Linked DNA regions of Anolis sagrei. The protein of the gene in region 1 interacts with the protein of each later gene in a pairwise test. Links are inferred from orthologs where the notes say so. Each region holds a gene or a part of one and is shown on either strand. Other genes may lie near its edges.

The links.
Region 2: the proteins of BMX (region 1) and PTPN21 interact in binary tests that used the Homo sapiens proteins (3 or more experiments, as listed by UniProt). The link is inferred for Anolis sagrei from reciprocal best matches to the Homo sapiens genes BMX and PTPN21.

What each region holds. Positions count from the first base shown.
Region 1 is NC_090023.1:90,746,818-90,757,144, reverse strand, and holds the start of BMX (cytoplasmic tyrosine-protein kinase BMX), read left to right. Parts: upstream 1-5,988; coding exon 5,989-6,194; intron 6,195-7,518; coding exon 7,519-7,581; intron 7,582-8,603; coding exon 8,604-8,651; intron 8,652-9,924; coding exon 9,925-9,979; intron 9,980-10,327. UniProt on the Homo sapiens protein: Non-receptor tyrosine kinase that plays central but diverse modulatory roles in various signaling processes involved in the regulation of actin reorganization, cell migration, cell proliferation and survival, cell adhesion, and apoptosis.
Region 2 is NC_090021.1:313,895,734-313,906,721, reverse strand, and holds the start of PTPN21 (tyrosine-protein phosphatase non-receptor type 21), read left to right. Parts: upstream 1-6,445; 5' UTR 6,446-7,002; intron 7,003-10,988.

The DNA.
Region 1 (10,327 bases):
CCTAAACCACCGAGTGTAATTACAGTGGCTCATAATATGAGGTGGCATTTCTGAGAAAGAAATGATTCTATAATATAACAGTAAACGTAAGATACAGGTATTTTTTTTATAAAAATGATCCATTGTCACATTGCCAATGAGAGTCTAAAAAATCCACCATACATGTTAGCCCATGAAAACAATCCATTCTAATTGCTTCCATCTTAACAAAAGCAGAGTTTTGTAATGCTGATGGGATTTCACTGCATGAGAAAAAGTCACACACCCCAAAAAAACAAAAAAACAAAACATATTTGCCCAGAATAAAAATTACGATACATTTATCTTCACCCATGGAGATTGCACAGCTAAATTAAAAGGGAATAGGAAGTTTGAGCAGAGGGCCAGATCCTACACCTAGAGCTTTGCTCTACAAGATTCAATTCCACTACAACACTGTTTTTTGTATGAAAACTCAACAACTAAGTTTTCTAATCCATATTCTTAATATTGTCCCTTGATTGTGTGAACTGTGTGATATTCTGTTGGTTATTGCAAGGTCACATGTTAGGGTTTGTAATGGACTTGGTGAAGGAAGAGGAATAACAAGAACAGATGACTATTTTGTAGGAATGAAGATTTTCAATTTCTTATTCTCCTCAACCCTCATCTTTTCTAGAGATTAAAGATAACATGGATTTACTAAACAAATACCACAATGGCTTCTTTTCAAATGGGAAGTTTCTGTGCTGCAATCAAACTTGCAAAGCAGCTCCTGGATGCACAATATGGGAAAAATGTAATGTATTACCCTTGTGTCTTTTTTTTTTTTGTGAACCACCATTGGAAATGAGAGCTTTTTCATGCTATTTCCAACATAACAGTAATTGCATGCAACTGCAGGTAATACATCTTCGTTATAATTAACTATTCTTTGATGTTTTTCACCATGTTATGCGCTCGACATTTTATTGCGAGTTTCAGTCAGATTGACAGTAAGATGAAGGATCATTCCTTTTCATCTGGCAGACCAATCTGAACCAGACTTACTGGGAAGTTAAAGGAGCAATTGGATAATACTCTAGTGTGGGATGAGCTAGGTGTGTATATGTACACCCAAAGCTGGTTTTGCAGTCTTTGTCCTTTCCAGACTTCCCAGAATGTTCATTTTGCAAAGGTGAATTTGTTTGTATTGGGAGCATCCAGGACCAGCAGTTTGCCTTCAGAATAGATTGAAGGGCCCTTATTAAATTTGTGACATTAAAAATACACGCTTATTTGTGCTTACATCTAGTTTTGTTTTGTTTTTTCTTCATTTATTTTCCATAGTTTTGGCTGTCCTTGCAGCTCCCAAATGATCTTTGGAGCAGAAACCATGTCCCTGGGTCCACTGCATTTGGCATACTAACAAGCACGGGAATTTTCATAAGAAAATTGATGGGCACAGGGAAAAAATCAGTGTTTGGCTCCTGCCAATGGATTTTCCTCCCTGTGATGTAAACATTGCAAGGCAAACATAAACTGGCAGAATTTCATGCTCCAGAATGGGGTTGGGGGGGGGGGGGGAGAGAGACAGAGAGAGAGAGAGAACTGGAAGGAGCTTTCTTGGGATATCCTTGAAACTATCAGTGACCCCTTGGGTTAGAGGTGGGGCTGTTGCCAGACATCTTTTGATAGCTGTTGTACTGCCTGCATCCAAAACTACTGGGTACCTCCAGTGCAATGCTACAAAAATTAAATATGCCAGCATCACTTTTGGTGAAGCAATCAAGTCTCAAGACGAGGCTGGCTTCTGTGTCTGATTTGTCAACTAAGCTTTTCTCCCCACACCTCTGAAATAAATATTCCACAAATGAAACAAACATGTCAGACTTGTGAGTTGTTACCTAGTGTTTTCCTGGGTCTATTAACTTATTATGTAAATGTAGTAATATGTGTTTGTGGGAGAGCAGAATGAAATTATATAACAGATACTCCAGGAGTTCACCTAGATCAGTGGTTCTCAACCTGGGGTCCCCAGATATTTTTGGCCTTCAACTCCCAGAAATCCTAATGGCTGGTAAACTGGCTGGGATTTCTGGGAGTTGTAGGCCAAAAACATCTGGGGACCCCAGGTTGAGAACCACTGACCTAGATAGTGTAACAGGAGCTACAAACAATGTCCTGTTATTATACCAAAGTATGAGTAAGCCGATCAATTTCCAAAACAAATAATCTGCATGCAAATCTTGCTCTTTGGAAGTGGCTCCTGGCACACAACATTACTGTTTTATGCTCAATAGTAAATTTGTACAGTTAGATGAAAAGTCTCTTCTCAGCTGCTTAGACAACAATATAGCTGAAATATTATTTCTCTCCAAAAAGTTAGGCTATTAAGTGATTTTAAGCCATCGATCCCAACCTGACACTTTACAGATTTGCTAGACTCTGCCTCTCGCTATTCCTTGCCTGTAAGACATCTAGAGGGCACCAGACTTGGGGAGACCAGTATAAGTTCTGCATGCCTAGAAAGAAAAAACACGATTGGGTCAGACCAAGGCCCAAAGCTGCATCTACACTGTAGGAATAATGCAGTTTCAGACCACTTTAACTGCCATGGCTCAATGCTATAGAATAATGAGTATTGCCATTTTGCAAATTATTCCATCTTCTTGGACCAAGTATGTTAGTGCCTCACCAAACAACAGATCCCAGGTTTCCATAGCATTGAGCCGTGGCAGTTGAAGTCATGTCAAACCGCATTGATTGTATAGTGTAGATGCATCTCAAGTGCTTCAAACAATTACCAATGAGTGACCTTCTGTTCAAGCACCATTGTTATTTGTCTTTACTGTTTCATATTCACATGCACATTGAACAATTAACAAATTTTCTTCTGAGTTCTGTGTGTAAAGGTATTTTTGAAAGCGCTAGCTAGCTGTGCCTTCTAATTTCAGATGTGTGTTCTGGTCACACATTTACCCAATGATCTCAGCCTGGAGGATGTATCTCTGTAGACCTTTTAAAAAGAGTTATAAGTGAATGTTCACGTACAGTTCTGTGAGTCCCTCTGAATGAATTCTGCGTTCCATAACAATTTCCCCAGGGTAGTCCAGTACTGATACCATACTAATTAAACGGTCAAAAAGTATACCCAGTGCTTACCTCTAGGTCCTATCTGTAGGATGGGGTGAGTAACAATGTGGTAGCCGGGGCCAATTAGCTACCACGCACACATTACATGCAGGCATGTAGGCCACACACACACATACATCCATACCAAACCCAAACATTTCTGTTTTTCATTCACACTTCTTCTAACCTCCTGTTGCTATTTTAGAGGCACAGAGATATCTGGAGATAGAATGGGATTTTGGAGTGCTTGAAAGGGTGGGGAGAGGGTATTTTCTTGTGCTTTTATGTAGTTTGTAGGTTTTCTCTATTGTTTGTGGACAATCCCATAAAAATTGTTGATTTTCTAAAATGGGAAGAAGTTGAGGAGGGGGCTTCTGGGGCCACAAAAGTAGGGTCAAAAGTCCACACGTAGCCCACTCCTGCTGTAGGATATGCATTTCACCTCGGACTTTCATGTTTTTGCTGTAGACTCCAGCCCACACAGTGCAAGCACTGCAGTGAAACCGCTCCCACCAGTACCAGGGCAACTGGTAAGTGAGAAATGTTTTAGCAGTGAATCTTGGTATCCATACAAAGGACAGTCATGCCACTGGAATGATTGGACTGACAAGTGACCCCTGACAAAAAAGAGAAGCCCTTTCTTTGCCTTTCTTTTCATCCATTTGTTTTCTCCATGGGTGGACTTATTTTCAAGGAGAAATGCGGTAACCTGGAATGACCTTAAGCAGATGGGTGTACCTTTAGTGATGCAAATCTATTTTTAAATGACAATAGCTGTTGTTTTAGGACAATTATTTGCAAAACCTAGCTGACAGCTTCTTTACTTATGGCTGGCTTATCAGAGGAGGCCTGGTGCAGGGTTTACATCTAAATTCTGCATATCACAAACACAAAAAGTAGGCCAGTTCCCAAAGTCTAGTAAAAAGACACAGAACTTGTTTCTGTTCTGCTGTCTGTTCTGTAATGTAAATTAGACTCTGTTCTATTACAAACCCTATGTGGATACATTCACCAAGTTACGTATGGTAGTGTGTGGATGTTTGCACAGCATTGTAGTTCAGCAGGGGTCACTTCCTACCCTGACCCATAAAGTGGGTCTGATCTAGTGGCTGCACTGAACATGGTTTGGGGCCACTGGGCAGGGGCCCTATCTTCCACCCTCCTTCTCCCCATGTCACAGCTGGCAATTACCCTTTTCCCTCCTCCTAGACTCCTTTACAGGTCACAAGACTTGCGAGAAAGCCGATGGACCCCCAAGTATAAAGTAGGTGTTTGTGTCATGGCTGTATATCTGAGAACATACATATACATAGAAATGTGTCATTGTTATTGATAGGCTACTATGTGGCTATACGGTTTGACAGTGGAAAATGATGAGTTAATTACATATAGGAAAAGAAAGTGTAATGCAGCAATTATTCCATGAAAAAATGGTGTTGTAGTTCAGCCAGTTCAGCCCATTATTGTGGCTGATACCAATGTTAATGTGGACGTGGATCATGGGAACTCTGGGCCAGTGAGTCCACATGAGATTTTAAGTCTTGAAAATGATCAGTCTGTGTCTCCAGCAGCTAGTGAAGGTCACATTCCAGAGAGTTGCCAAAATGGTGCAGAGGAGCCAGTCTCTAGGGAAAAGAGTTCAGAGACCGAAATCCCAGGTGCAGAGAATAATGAGTTGGAAGATAATGAGCTGGTTGATAGGATACTTAGTTTTCATAAACTTCAGTCTGCTCAGCAGAATCTCCGAAGGTCCCAGTGCCTTTACAACAGAAGCCCGTATCAGACACATATGTGAAAAGACATGACTTCCTGGTCTATATTAGAGAGGCCGGGGGCATTTTCTAGTCTTGGTCTCCACAGTTTCAGGGGAACCCATTTTTCTTTTTGGCATTTTCTAGTCAGGCTGGTTAATGCTGGTAATTGAGACAACAACTCTTGTCAAGTCTTGGTCAAGGGGATTCTAGTTTCATGCCTTTGTTCATATTTCATGCATCCAAGGATTATTCCTGGATTTTTGTATTGGATTTTATGCTGCCTTGTGCTTCCTCTTCCTTGTACAAACGTGTTTCCCGGCTTTGAGTGCAACAATCAGAATATAATTTCATGCTGTACTGGTACTTTAAGAACCTCCAGTCAATAAAAAATGGCTGTACAGGCAATTCATCAAATGAGATGAATGAGGGCAGTATTTTAATGGCTGATGAGCACTTTCCTAGCCCTAGTCCACGTTTGATATATACCTGGCACAGTTAAGATAACTTTCTTTTGTTTAATTATGAAAGCAGCTCTTCTGCCCTTCATCATTCTTGCTACTCTTTCAACACATACTTCAACAACTAGAAGTGTGGTCACACAACTCAATAAAGGATTTTTTAAATAATGAATCAGTTAAGATTTGCCAAGTTTATCCCCACTGACTCTTGCACAAACATTACTCTCTCTCATTCTCTCTGTATGTGTGTAAATGTGTGTGTGTGTGTAGAGAGAGAGAGAGAGAGAGAGAGGGAGAGGGAGGGAGGGAGATTAATATTCATGCAAATTGAACAGTATGTGTGGTGGGTTTTAAAATTGAACGTTAAGATTTCTTTTCAGGAAAATCATTTCAGTAACATTTGGCTAATAAAAAATATATAGTAAAGTAAATGTAAGGATGTGACAAAACTCAGGAGAAGCCTAAGGTAATAGAAAAAGGGTTAGAAAATCACTGATGCAGTGAAGCATTTGGGCAAACTAACTGAGGTCCAATTATTTCTACATATCTGCTCCAAGGGTGACTCCATCTGGATCAAAAATAATGTTTCTAATATGATCTGAATGCTTGAAATGTGCTTTGTTGTTGGTATTCTTATTATTACGTAATGATAAAGTGGGTATAAATTCTTCTTTACATTCATGATGTGGTATATTTATTTCCTTTTTCTGGGTTTGTTTTTGCAGCAACTACCAGGTCTAATATCTGACAAGTCATATCTGAAAGAAGCGCTAGCTGTTCATAATTATGAACCAAAAGGAAGCTCTGATGTTCGGCTTGTCAGAAACCACAAATATTATATTCTGAGAGATGACGATCCTGACTGGTGGCGAGTAAGAGATTTGGATGGGTAAGTTTCTGCTACAGAAATACTACTGTCATTTTGTCACTACTAAGAAATAATGTTCATATTCTATTAAAAAACTTTCCCACTCATGCTGCACTTGAAATTTACTGAAAAATTAAATGCTCTGATTTAAAACATATGCTGCTAATTTGTCTAAATTATGCCAGAGTCAATCTAGGTGGTACTTAGGTAGCTGAACTTTTTCTGGGTATATTGTTCTGTGCGGGTAGCTGCTGGACCTGGGCCAAGAATACATAGGTTAAAATCTTAATTGTAAAACTGAGGATGGTTCATGCAAGATCACTCTTAGGCCCTTTCTACACTGCCATATAACCCAGTTCAAATTAGATAATCTGGATTTTATATGTAAGTGTAGAAGGGGTCTTTGTTAACCTATCTCATGTGGTTATCAGGCTAACAAAATATACATTCCCATGTATACTGCTATAGGCTCTGCAGAGGAAGGGTTGAAAACACAAGTGAGATGAATAATAACTGTATGTACAAGTGGACTATGAATGCCTTATTGGGGAAAGGATGAGCTTATTGTCCATTTAAGGCACCTGCTGACATACCAAAGTTTTCATAAACTATTTACCCCCATCCTGGCAGAAATGTTAACAGCAGGAAAAAATATGGCAAAGATTATTACCATTCTCATACAGAGTGTAGCAATAAGATCACGCCCCCCCCCCCCCAAAAAAAGATATTATTGATCTTTAATCTTTATTCTAGTCTTGACAATGGTCCCTCATTAGTGTAAATGGAAAGTCAATGTTGATCATCCTGCATTGTGATAAACGTATAAAATCAAATTTCTTCCTCCCTCCTCTATTTTATCTTGCTTTTTTGAGAATATCATGTGTGTTTGTGTTTGTGTGTGTGTGTGTGTAATCCTTTGCAGGCAGTCCCCAAGTCACAAACGACTCATTGTTAAGAACAGGAGTGAGACAACAGGAAGTTATCATGAGGAAAATGTGTCTCCACTGAAGCTTTCTCACCAATCTTTGCTTCCAGAACAAGCCATATTTTTCAAAATCTAGTGCTCACAGTGACAGAAATTGTGGTGAAATCTTCTAAAATCTTCTGAGCAAGGTCATAGGCAGCAAAAGAAACACCACAGCAGTGTTATCCCTTCTCTGTGTTATCCAAAGCATGTGTGTGCACGCACACACACGAGCACACATATATAGCTGGGGTTACACTTAAAAAGCATACCTCTTCCAACTTACATACTAATTCAACTTAAGAACAAACCTACATAAATGATCTTGTTTGTAACTTGGGGACTTCCTGTATTTTTAAAAAATGTATTTTTCATTTACAGTAATGAAGGCTTTGTTCCACATACTTATCTGAAGATGATATCTCAGACCACCGATGAATTAAGGTAAGCTGTATTCCAGCCATTTTGTTACATTAAGCATAGGATACAACAGAAGGGGAAACTTATCACCTTTTGGCCACCTAGGTGCCTAACTAGTGACATTGGTGAAATCCAGACAGACAGGCTTAGTACTAACATTTCACTTAAGTGTTAATAAGCATTTGAATCTCAAGATAATTGTATGGGAGAATGAGCAAGCTCTCTGTTAGTTGGTAGGCTAATAAGTATATGCAAATGTATATAGACTTATTACAAAGAAACACAGGCATGGCAATGGCTGGTCACATTGCTTTCATTAAGTTATACTGTATTTCATGTAAAGCGTCAATTCATTGTCATATGGCAAGTCAGATATTACACTTTCATAGATACTGTTGTCGTAGCAACTCTCTAGCATGCTTATCTGTAATGATTACATATTGGTTCATCTAATATTCTTTGCTCAGGTTCCATTGCTTAGGAAACTAGATGCCTCCACATAAGTGCTTTTTATTCGTGTCAGGAGTGACTTGAGAAACTGCAAGTCGCTTCTGGTGAGATAAAAAAGGGCCGTCTGCAAGGACGTTGCCCAGGGGACTCCCGGATGTTTTATCATCCTGTGGGAGGCTTCTCTCATGTCCCTGCATAAGAAGCTGGAGCTGACAGACAGGTGCCCACCCCACTCCCTGGATTCAAACTGCCGACCTTTTGGTCAGCAGTCCTGCTGGCACAAAAGTTTAACCCATTACACCACAGGGGGTCCTACATAAGTGCTGAATCCAAGGCTACTCCATGGGCAGATTTGTACCATGCTAAACTATATGGTGTGAACAACACACTATTTATCTATGAAAGCTTATACTACTAACTTCTTTTAGTTAATGTCAAAGGTGCTACAAAATCTCTTTGCATACTGATCCAGACTAACAAAGCCATAACTTTTAATTCTATAAAATTGTTGTGTAGCTTCTTTAGTAGTGTTGAACATACTATGGCTCAGCAATAAAAGTGATGATAAAAGCCAACATGCCTTTTTTTGTTTGCAGAGGAACCACTGAGGCAACTGAAATGGAAGACAGCTTTGATAAATATAAGTAAGGAGACCATTGGATGTAGTTGAATATTGGAATTATAGCTCATAAAATACAGTGGCAGTATTTGAGTGTCCACTGCAAGGTGTTCATTACCACAAAAATGAATATTTGCAAGTTATTATAGTTTTACCTGCAAGGTCTGTGCATTGCATTGATGATACTATCAGCATACTATTGCATACTGATTCCATTATATGATGTTCTTGTTATTATTTAATGCATTTAGATATCGCATCCTTCTTTTAAATATTGCACCAATTCTTTGAGTAGGGTTAGAAAGAAAGTAATTAATCCAGAATCAGCTAGTAAACGACCTAAGGAAGTTCTTCATCTGACTCATAACCTACAGTTACTCCAAATCAAAGATAAAGAGGCTATTTAAAGCCCAGAAATCTGTAACATGGAACTTTGTGTCAGTGGCATAGGCAGCACAGCAAGGCAGGGACAGATCAATCACAGCCACTTTAGGCTATAAACTACTTCATTTTACAGCTATAAACATTAGAAGCTACTTAACACTCAGCACATCAAAAACTTGCTTCTTTTCCTTCTGATCGTAACATTGCAAACTCACTAACCGTTGTCAGTACTAGTCCACACCTCTTGCATTTCAAAGTGATGTAGGACATACGACGCTGTGTCCATTTGTTTATACACTTGATTTCTGACCTCTCTAGGAATGCCATTCCCTCCATGGTTCAGTTAACTCTTTCCACACAGGAATATATTACACTCGGCACATAACTACTGCATTTTAAAGATACTGTACATGCATACATACTTTGAAATCTACATTATAAATTGCAAACAACTTCAACACTTTGCAGTCCTAGAAGCTGTTATAGTGGGACTTATTATTGTGAAAACATGCATATAATTGTGATGTACCTGGTATTCTTAGTGCCAGTATTATAAGAAAGAAAGAAAGAAAGAAAGAAAGAAAGAAAGAAAGAAAGAAAATAACATTTGGTTTCTTCCATTAAACAGATGCTTCTGTACTCATCTCTTGTTGTGATTGTGACAAGAGTATTCTGTTTTGTATGATTTCCAGCACAGTCTTTATTTAGGAGTAAAGCTTTCCTCAAAATATATCTTTAGAAATCCCATGTCCCGTGATATTAATAGGCAGGTTTTAGATTTTTAACTTGCTTTTATGTGCTACCTGATTTAATTAACAGATTTTTTTAGTAGGCTCTCTAATTCAATTTCAGATGTTATTTCAAAATCATTAACTGTCTCAAAAATAATAAGTTAGCTATCTCTTTTGTTGCAGTTGGTATGTTGGTCGTCTTTCAAGGGCCCAGACAGAACAACTGCTGCAAGAGAAGGTAGTATTTAAATACATGTGGATTTTTAAAATCAGTTTCTGCATTGGTTCTGCTTGCTTACCTACCGCTTCCTGGAATTACAAAGTACAATATTGGAAAGTGATGACAATTGGAAGGTTTCAGTTAGGATTCATTTTGAATTTTGCTAAGGTTGGTGGTTCTTACAACCTTATAACACCCTTATGCCATGCTATTCCATTTGAAATCCTTTCAAGCCAGTTTCATGGGGGTATCTGATTGTAAATAGCTTTCATTGTGCCCATGTTTCATTTGTACTTTAAATGTCATTTGCATGGTATTTTCATCTGCATTAATATAGTAATATAGAAATAGTAATTCGTTACCTCA
Region 2 (10,988 bases), on another chromosome or scaffold:
CTTACTTGGATCTGCATGCATCATTTGAAAATATATCACACAGCCCTAAATGCTTTTGAAGTGTTCGACTTGTGATTTTGTGATACGAAATTCAGCATATACGTCTCGTTTGCTGTGGCATATTTGTTTTTGTGTCAGTATAATAATAATAGAAATAATCCTACCTGAAGGCTTTGATACTTGCTGCTGGTCACAGCCAACAACATTAAAATAGATGGACTAATGGTGAAAGTAGCTTCTTGCATTCCTATTGTTCCTGCTAATCAAAAAGTCGCATCACCTTCACTACAATGCTGTTAAATCTCTTAACACTAAAACTGCTTGTAAGAAGTGAAAGCTAGTGCCTTTTTGTAACATATTTATACTACAATTATTCCACTTGAATTACTATCGTTGTGTCTGATTTTTTTTTCATGTCAGGAGTGACTTGAGGAACTGCAAGCGACTTCTGGTGTGAGAGAATTGGCTGTCTGCAAGGATGTTGCCCAGGGGAAACCCAGATATTTTACCATCCTGTGGCAGGCTTCTCTCATATCCCTGCTGGAAAAGCTGGAGCTGACAGATGGGAGCTCACCCCGCTCACTAGATTCAAATCACCAACCTTTCAATCAGCAGCCTTGCTGGCACAAGGGTTTAATCCATTGTACCACGGGGAGCTCCTGCTGCATCTGATGGGATTTGTAGTTTGGGAGGCACTAGAACTCTCTGGCTAAGAATTCTAAATACTTCTTGCTAACCTAATTCCAAATGATGCTAGTTTTTGGTTTGTTTGGAAAACTGTAAAAGAAAAGAAGTCTTCTTTTAAAACGAGAGAGAGAAAAATACAATTTGGGGGTCAGCTGAGTCCCCACTAAGGCTGCTTTTGTGGCTGTTAACCCCTCCAGTTCCTTGGATGAGGCTTTTTCTGGACAAAAAAGGGTGGTGGTTGCTGCTGCTACTACTATTTTTTTTATTACCCACCTACTTTAATTAAATCTAGAATTAAATACATTAATAAACTATATCCCCCAATTATTTAATATTATTTAAAAATTGGACATCCAACCACTTCATTCTTCATTTTGGGGGCATTTTTATTAGTATGGATAGCCTCAAGTGTCATAGGATAGAAACCTGTTCCTTTTGTAGTTGCCCACCACTGTTTTACATTTTGGAATAGTGGTTCTAATGTGATGCCATTTTAACTGAAATCTTTATATTTGAAAAGGGAGAAGCCCAAAATCTAACAAGCAAACCATCAAGAACAAATGTGAAAACATCATTTGAGAAGCATATTGCTGAAAAAATTGGGATAAGCAATTAAAAATCCTACAAATATAAGAACTAGGAAAACAGCCAGGGAGGCAGCTGAAATGCTACATGACAAAAGAATGAAAGGGTAGCTAAAAAAAGTTAAAGAGACTACAAAGAGCCTGAAGAAGTTGATTACTTTGGCATTCACTGTGGAAGAGGTTAGACAGGTATTAACACCTGAGAGAGTAGGGAATGAGTCGGGTGGAGCAATCCTGCACCGATACTCCAACTAAGCTGCAAGCGCTTAGTTGGTAAAATGTTATGCTCTGTTGGTGAAGGGAGTCAGGGGGAATAAATCTGTTGTGCGTGGGAGGGGGGGATGTGTGTTGTGAGTGTGATAGAGAGGGAATGGGAGAGAGTCAGAGAAAGTAGATGGACTATCTGTAGAAAGGAGGACTATGTACATACTCAAAATATACAGGATCGTGTAGTGATGCTAGTATTGGATTTCAACTCTTGAGGCTGCTTGGCCATGGAAAAACCTGGCCAAAGCACATTCTCTCAGCCTCAGAGGAAGGTAAGCACAAACTTTCCTTTCAAGAAATCCTGCAAAGAAAACCATGTGATAGGTTTTTCTTAGGGTTCTCATAATTTGGAAATTACTGGAAGCCACATAACAATAAATATGCAAAAAATAGGGAAGAAGAACGAATGCAGATCCATCCTGAAAAAAGCAAACCTGGACATGAGCTGCATGTGCACCCACCTCTCAAACTGCTAGGAATGGGTTGTTATTGGTTTGGTTTTGCTTTTAAATGCCCAAAAATTATTTCTGTGAAGTGCATTTCCAAGATCTCTGGGATGGCTAGTGTGGCCCATTAGTCTTCCGCAATGGCTGGTCCCTCTTCTACAAGCTCTGACCTAAGTGTCCAAGATAGATGTGCCTTTTGGCTGTATCAACATTGTGGAATTACAGCAGTTTAACACATTAACTGCTATAGCTCAAATTTATGGAATGCTGGGATTTGTAGGTTTGTGAGATGTTTAACCTTCTCTGTCAGAGATCATTAATGCCATATCAGATCCCAGGTTTCCACCAGGTGGAGCCTTGGCAGTCAAAGTGGTGTCAAATTGCTATAATTCTGCAGTGTGGCTGGTCTCAAAGTTCAACACTCAGCTATTATATTACGCCTGCTCACTGTCTGCTGGTATCTATTGAGGTTTGTTGGGTACAAAAAGAGAACAAGAATTCTTCTCAGTGTAAACTTCTGGCATATCATAAATTTTTCTTGGACTTTAGAGCACAATGTGTGGGATAGATTTATAGAAGACTAGATATTTATTGCAACCACAAGAGCTGGCCAAAGGCCATCCTTGGTGCTGCACATTTTCATAGGTGAAGTATCTCTCACAGAAACTCCCATAAATGCCAATGTACAAAAAAAAGCATTTTATTCAAAATCAGAAGTCGCTAGACAAAGGTAAAAGTTTCCCCTTGACATTAAGTCTAGTTGAGTCCGATTCTGAGGGGTGGTGCTAAGCCGAAGAGCCGTTGTTATTCATAGACACCTCCTAGGTCATGTGGCCAGCATGACTGCATAGAGTGCCATTATCTTCCTGCCTGAGTGGTACCTATTGATCTACTCACATTTGCATGTTTTCAAACTGCTAGTCTCTAGCCACTTCTATTTTGCCAGCTCCAGAAGGTCCCAGAATAGAAAACTGTCTGCTAGCTGCTAAGTTTGCCACCCTTGGTTTTACACCAATGCTCAGTTGCTACAAGTGTTGATTTTCACTTTAACTTAATAAACAACTGACATCAGTACTTTTAGAACTTTCATCACATTCAGATAAAAGTTTAGTCATGACTGTACTCACAATCTCCCTTTCTCTTTTCAAGTTATAGGAGTTTCAAAATAATTCCAGTGCTCAGCATAGAAAATTCTAAGTGGATTTATCATACATGATAGTAATTTTTGCTATTAGTTACATATTCTAATTTTGATATCCAGCAATAAGATACTGGAAGGAAGGGCTTTGATGTGTGAGTGGTTTCACTCCAAGCCCAGGTTGTCCCCCTCCTCAATATGACATTATTTCAAGTATTTAGACAAGTTATTAAGTCTCCTCTCAGTCTTCTTTTCTCCAGGTTAAACATACCCAGCTCCCTGAGCCACTCCTCGGCTTGGCTTTTGAACCTTGGTTGTAGTGAACAGAACTGGACACAGTGTTATTCCAGGTGAGGTATGAACAAAGCAGAATAGAACGAGACTATGACTTCCTTCGATCTCAACACTATACTCCTATTGATGCCACCTAGAATCACATTGGTTTTTTAAAGCTGCCACATCACATCTGCACAGCAAAAGCACTCTCTCCAATTTGTTGTTAATTTGTTCAGTCGCTTCCAACTCTTCATGACCTCATGGACCAGTCCACGCCAGAGCTCCCTGTCAGCCGTCACCACCCCCAGCTCCTTCAAGGTCAAGCCAGTCACTTCAAGGATACCATCCATCCATCTTGCCCTTGGTCAGCCCTTCTTCCTTTTTCCTTCAATTTTCCCCAGCATCATTGTCTTCTCTAAGCTTTCCTTTCTTCTCATGATGTGGCCAAAGTACTTCATCTTTGCCTCTACTATCCTTCCCTCCAATGAGCAGTTGGGCTTTATTTTCTGAAGTATGGACTGGTTGGATCTTCTTGTGGTCCAAGGTACTCTCAGAACTTTCCTCCAACACCACAGCTCAAAAGCATCTTTCTTCCTTCTCTCAGCCTTCCCTATGGTCCAGCTCCCACATCCGTAGGTTACTATGGGGAATGCCATTGCTTTTACTAGGCGGATCTTCGTTGCCAGTGTTTTGTCTCTTCACTATTTTATCAAGATTGGGTTAGGGGTGTAGCATCCAAATTTCATGTCAATTCATCCAGTGGTTTTTGAATTATGTTAATCCCACATTTTTATTTATATAGATCAGGGGTCCTCATACTTTTTAAACAGAGGGCCAGGTCACAGTCCCTCAAGCTATTGGAGGGCTAGATTATAATTTGAAGAAGAAGAAAAAACAAATGAATTCCTATGCACACTGCAATATCTTATTTGTAGTGCAAAAATACTTAAAACAATACAATAATTCAAATGAAGAACAATTTTAACAAATATAAACTTATTACTATTTCAATGGGAAGTGTGAGCCTGCTTTTGGCTGATGAGATAGGATTGTTGTTGTTGTGTGCTTTCAAGTTGTTTCAGACTTAGGTTGACCCTGAGTGAAAGCTGGGTAAAGGACCTTGGAGGGCTGCATCCGGCCCCTGGGCCTTAGTTTGGGGACCCCTGAAATAGATAGATATAGATATAAATTCCACAGGTTAGGCCCGTAGCCAGGATTTTGATTGGGGGGAGGGGCTGAGGATTTACCCTAGCAAACGTTTTGTGTTGTTATCCCAATACCCCCATGCATATGGGATATATTGAGCATGGTGATCAGATCATGATACGAATAAACGTAACAGTTTGGCCACCTCCATCCAGATGTTCCATTAGAGGCCAGTGGCAATAGGAAAAGAAAATTTGGATTTTGCGAAATGGATTCTCCCGGCTCGGCTTGGTTTTACTGGCACGTTAATCTATTAATTTATTGTTAAAATTTACTGATGATGTTGTACAATGTTTTAAAATGATTTTTATTGTGAATTGTAATTTTTATGGTATTTATGCTGTTAGCATCCTCTGATGCTCATGTGAGGCTACACTGAGTCCCCCTTGTGGGGAGAAGGGCGGGATATAAATACAAGGGGTATTTTTTAATTAATGTCCGTTTTGTTGTAGACACTAGTAGTTCGCATGCATACCACAATGAGCATGTGCGTCGTGTACTGGCATGCCTCGGGAACAACTGTGCTCAGTTTCTGCTCTGTAGCTAACCTGTACGGTTCTGTTCTGTGCTTTAAAAATGTTTAAGACTCTCAACTCACCCTCCGCATGTGAGGTTTGCTCAGTGATACGGTTTTTGTCAGCAAGGAACCTGCCTGCTGCAGAAATTCATCGACAGATTTGTGAAGTGTACGGTGATACTGTTATGAGTGAAAGCAAAGTGCGTAAGTGGGTACGACAATTCAAAGATGGCCATAACAACATCCTTGATGAGGACCGCTCTGGTTGCACTTCTTTGATTACAGCCGATTTGGTGGCTTCAGTTGAAGCGAGGATTTGTGAAGAGGCAGGCCCGTAGCCAGGATTTCAATTTGGGGGGGGGGGGGCTGAGTTTTTTTCAGGGTGGGTTTTGGGGGGGCTGAGTTTTGGGGGGGGGGCTGAGTCTGAGTGAAAGAGGGTCTAGCCTAGCAAACCTTTTGTATCATTACCCCAATACCCCCATGCATATGGGATATACGGAGTATGGTGATCAGATCACGATATGAATAAACATAACAGTTTAAATAATGCACCAGTAAGGCCTTTTTGCAAACCACCATGAGAATTTTGGGGAGGGGGGGCTGAAGCCCCTTAAGCCCCCCCCCCCCCCCGGCTACATGCCTGTGAAGCGGGTATTTTAAAATTGGTTCAGAGGTATGATAAGTGTTTGAACAAACTTGGCAACTATGTTGAAAAATAGAGCGACGTATGTACTTTCTGAAAATAAATTGACTTTTTTGAAATAAACTTTCGTTGTGTACTTATGTTCCAACGGACCTTACTTAAAAAATACCCCTCGTATATGAAATATATATGAAATAAACAGTTTAAATAAAGTACCAGCAGGCCCGTAGCATATGGGATATATTGAGTAGGGTGATCAGATCATGATATGAATAAACATAACAGTTTAAATAATGCACCAGTAAGGCCTTTTCGCGAACCACCATGAGAATTTGAATTTGGGGGGGGGGGGCTGAAGCCCATCAAACCCCCCCCCCCCCCCCCCCCAGCTACATATGCTTGCCACAGGTGGAAAGGGGTCGCGAATGGAAAAAGTTTCTTCAAGTCACTCCTTGAGACCTGGCAAAGTTCAGAGAAGCCTTGAAGGCGTGCCACCGACCTAGAGAAGTAGCCACCGACCGAGGCAACAATTGTATTTAGAGAATAACCCTCCCTTCCCTTTCCCTTTCCTTCCCTTTGCTGCCATGCTTGCCTGCTGGCCTGGCTCTGGCTCTGGCTCTGTGCGCAGCTGTCCCATTGCTGACATTCCCGCTGCCAGGCATTCCAGACCTCTGAGGTCATGGCGCTGCAAACAGAGAGGGCAGTCCTTGGCTTCCCTCGCCCCGTATCCTTCCGCATGGCTGGAGCCCAAGGGAACGCCTCTCAAGGGGGAGAGACAGAGAGAGAGAAAGAGAGAGAGAGAAAGAGGAGAAGGAAGAAAGAAAGAAGGAGAAGAAACCCTGCGACGAGCTGGAGAGGCGGTCCGAGCGTGCCTGGTTGCGCCTTGAGCCGCTCGCCTTTTTCTGTCACAACAAAGCGTCGCCTCCTCCTCCTCCTCCTTCCCTCCTCTGACTCTGACTCTTTCCCCAGAGGAATCATCTCCGTCCACACGTTCGGTTTTTCCTCCTGTTGTTGTTGTTGTTGCCGCAGGAAGAGAGGAATGTTTGCCTGTTGAGAAGAAGGAGAAGCCAAGGCAGGAGTCCAGGGGGGGAGACTAAACCAGGGGACTTCCGAAGGGCTCCTTTCTGGCCCCCCACCCGCCTTCCCCGCCCCCTGAGAGCCATGACATGGCTTGACCTGGAGAGCGCCCCAAGCTGCGCCGAAGGAGACCCTGGGATTGCCTGGGAGGACTGCAACAGGTAAACACAAAGCGAAACTGACGTGGCCTGTGCTTGTCTTTGGGGGCTTCCACACTGTAGTTTGGAGCCACTTAACTGCCCTGGCTCAAGGCTACTGAAACCTGGGAGTTTGGTGGAGCTCCAGCACTCTTGGGCAGGCAAGGATCAAGACCTTGTAAAGGTACAGCTCCCGTTCTGCCATAACATTGATCGCTGGCAGTTAAAGTGGGGCCAAACTGCATGAAGTCTGTAGTGTAAACACACCCTTTGTGTGGTCATTTCTGAAACGGGAGGGAATTGTTTTTAATTTTCCTTTCAATAAATACGTGTTATGTATTCCCAGATCTTATTTCCCCACTAGTTCTGAAATATAGGAGCCGTGTCTACCAGAAAAGGGGCTGATCAGGGATCTCTCTCTAGTCCAATGGTTCTCAACCTGGGGTCCCCAGATGTTTTTGACCTTGCAACTCCCAGAAATCCTAACAGCTGGTCAACTGGCTGGGATTTCTGGGAGTTGTAGGCAAAAAACATCTGGGGATCCCAGGTTGAGAACCACTGCATCCCTACTAGCAGGTGGGCTTGTCTGGCTGGCATTGTTTTGAGAGTGCATAGGTAAAGGTAAAGGTTTTCCCCTGACATTAAGTCCAGTTGCGTCCAACTTTGAGAGTTGGTGCTCATCTCAATTTCTAAGCTGAAGAGCCAGCATTGTCCGTAGACACCTCCAAGGCCATGTGACCAGCATGACTGCATGGAGCATCGTTACAACAAAGCGTTGCCTCCTTTTCGTTCCCTCCTCTTTGCCCTCCTCCTTCGACTCTTTGCCCAGTGGAATTATATCTGTGTTCACATTCAGTGAGTAGATCAATACGGCTGGAGTGGTACCTATTGATCTACTCACATTTGCATGTTTTCAAACTGCTAGGTTGGCAGAATCTGAGGCTAACAGCGGGAGCTCATGCCACTACCCAGATTCAAACGTGCAACCTTTTGGTCAGCAAGTTCAGCAGCTCAGCGGTTTAACCCATAGTATGGAAATAACCACATGATTCATATCTTTAATAATAATAATAATAATAATAATACTAACTTACAATGCAGTCAGGGCCCTGCCACATGCACAATGGAGGACCTCCTTATAGCAACACCAGAGGCACTCCAAGTGGTCAGCTACTGGTCAAAAGACATTTAATATAATTGCCAAGTTTTTAAACTTTGTGTTTTTTTAAATGCATTACAGCTGTACCCTTGGTTAGCTCCTGATACAATAAATACATAATTGAAAAAAATATTTTTATATCCTGCCACCATCTCCCTGAAGGGACTCATAGCCCAAAAAACCTACAACAACGCAGCCTGACAGAATAATCAGATGCTAAAAAATGGGTGGGGAGGGGCTTGTGCAATAAAGTTGTAAGGGCAGGGCAGTTGGAAAAAGTGCAGGAGCCAGGTGGTAAATTAGGTCTGGAAGAGAAGTATCAGAATACTATATACAAGGGACGGTAGTAAAGTGCAGGGGCCAATTATTAAAGTATGGTTGAGGGGGCAGAATTATCTAATGAACCGTTTAGTCAAATGCATCTACGTTTTTAGGTCTTTGCAAAACATCCATGTTTTTAGGTCTTTGAGAAAAGTGGACAGGGTGGGTGCCAGACTAATCTCCCTTGGGAGAGAGTTCCAGGGCCAGGGGGCCACCACTGAGAAGGCCCTCTCCCTTGTCCCCACCAACCACGCTTGTGACAGAGGTGGAAGAGAGAGAAGGGCCTTCCCAGAAGGTCTTCAAGCCCACGCAGGTTTGTAGGGGAAGATACAATCGCAAAGATAGGCAGGTCCCGAACCATTTAGGGCTTTGTAGGTGATAACATCCCCTGACAAGTCCAGCCATGTCCAACTCTGAGGGTTGGTCCTCATCTCCATTTCTAAGCCAGAGAGCCAGCATAGACACCTCCAAGGTCATGTGGCTGGCATGACTGCATGGAGCTCTGTAACATATGGAGTTGCAAAGGGAATTGCAGTATGCTGTGTGATGTGGGATAAAAGATGATTTGTCCACATCTTCTCCCTATTCCAAGGTGCATCCCCACTGTCCAATGATAGCAGTTTGACACCATTTTAACTGCCATGGCTCAATACTATGGAATAATGCGAGTTATTTATTTATTTATGTATTTACAATACTTATATTCCACCCTTCTCACCCCGAAGGGGACTCAGGGTGGATCGCAGAACACACATGTGGCATTCAATGACAAGACAGACAACAGATGGAGATATATTTAGGCTTTTTCCTCATCATTTGGCTTCTTTTGGTTTATAAGATCTGTAGCCTTCTCTGTTCAAGAGCACTGGGGCCAAACTGCAAATCTCAGGATTCTGGAGCCTTGAGCCATGGCACTTAAGCTGGTATCAAACTGCATTAAATCGACAGTGTAGAATAGATGCGCCCCGTTCTTCCAAGTCAGCTCATTTCTGATTGCTAGACTTTGGTTGAACTGTATAGAACATTGTCCCTCTCCCGAACTAACTAATGATGACTTTAGCTCTTTAGAGAGAGATTAGTCTGTCTTTGTTTAGATCCTTTATCAAGATTTGAATAGGGTTTGAGATATTTTACAGGGGATATTTTACAGCATGCTCTATGCATATGTGTGCTAGTTGAATACTTGATATTAGTTATGATGCTAAAAGCTCTTGTAAATGGCATGTGATATTCAAAACATTACAGTTGAAGATCTCTTTGTAATTGGGACAATTAATATTTAAATAATGTTCAGGTAAGAATATTTTTTCCTTTTAAGGCCACTTTTCTTTCCAGAAAAGAATAAATAATAATAATAATACTTCATTTATATTCTGCCTTTCTTCCCAAGAGGACTCAAAGCATGAAGGAAAAGCATTAATATTTCCCCTGAGCCATTTAAAGGCCTTGATTGATAACACAAATGTTTATTTGTGCCTACCTTAAAAGAAGCAGATCAGTGAAGTCTAATTATGAACCCCAAAGAATGGAGAACAGCAATTGTTTCTATCCCTTATACTACAGCAATATATCGTTTTTCTGAGCAGTCTGAGAAGACAGTTAGTGGAAGCTACATTGGGACAATTGCATATTCCATTTATTAAAATGACTAGGGCTAAATCAGAACATAACATCTAAAAAGTTCTGGGTGTGCCAAATAGGTAATTATGTTTCCAACACGCAGTTGATTGGATTTGCTACTCTTGCCACTTCAGTACTATCCTCTTACCGGCTGCAAACTCCCTTAATCGCAGGGATAGACATTATTTTGAAAGAGGCGTGTGCGGCGGAGTGGGGGACCTGGATGGCAGCTGCTGGCAGAAAATAACAACTGCTAAACAAAACTGTGCTGTGTTTGCAAGAATTGTGCTTGGCCAGCATGAAAACTTGTTGAATAGGTTTGAAGCATTATTTCACCCCCGGACATTTTCTAATTGGCTTCTTACAAATGGATTTAAATATGACATAATATATATGCTGCATGTGTAGTTTTCAAAGAGAGTTGGTCCTATGTTCCAGACTCTCACTAAAGAACTCTGAGGGGAAAAAAACTAGAAAGTAAAAACATGTCAGGAAAGCAAATATATGCGTATGCATTAATCAAGTGTTTAATATTATGATGCCGAAACAGGGAATCTAAGGCCTGAATTCTCATTTAGTCCTAACTAGAATAGACCTACTGAATTCATTAGATTTAACCATGTGTTGACTCATCACTAAAGATTGGATTGAATAGGTTTCCTCTATTTGGACTAATGAACAAGATGTCAGCCCAATAATGAATCTGTTAATGGGCACAATCTAGCCAAAATTAAGTACTTTTAAGGCTGTTTTCAGGCTTGATATGTTTTTAATGATTGCTTTAATTTATATGCTTATTTTATTATATATGAATGTTTACATGGCATCAAATCGTTGCCTATATATGTGAGATGCCTTGAGTTGAGGAAGACAGGGTATAAATAGGGTAAATAAATAATAATAAATAATA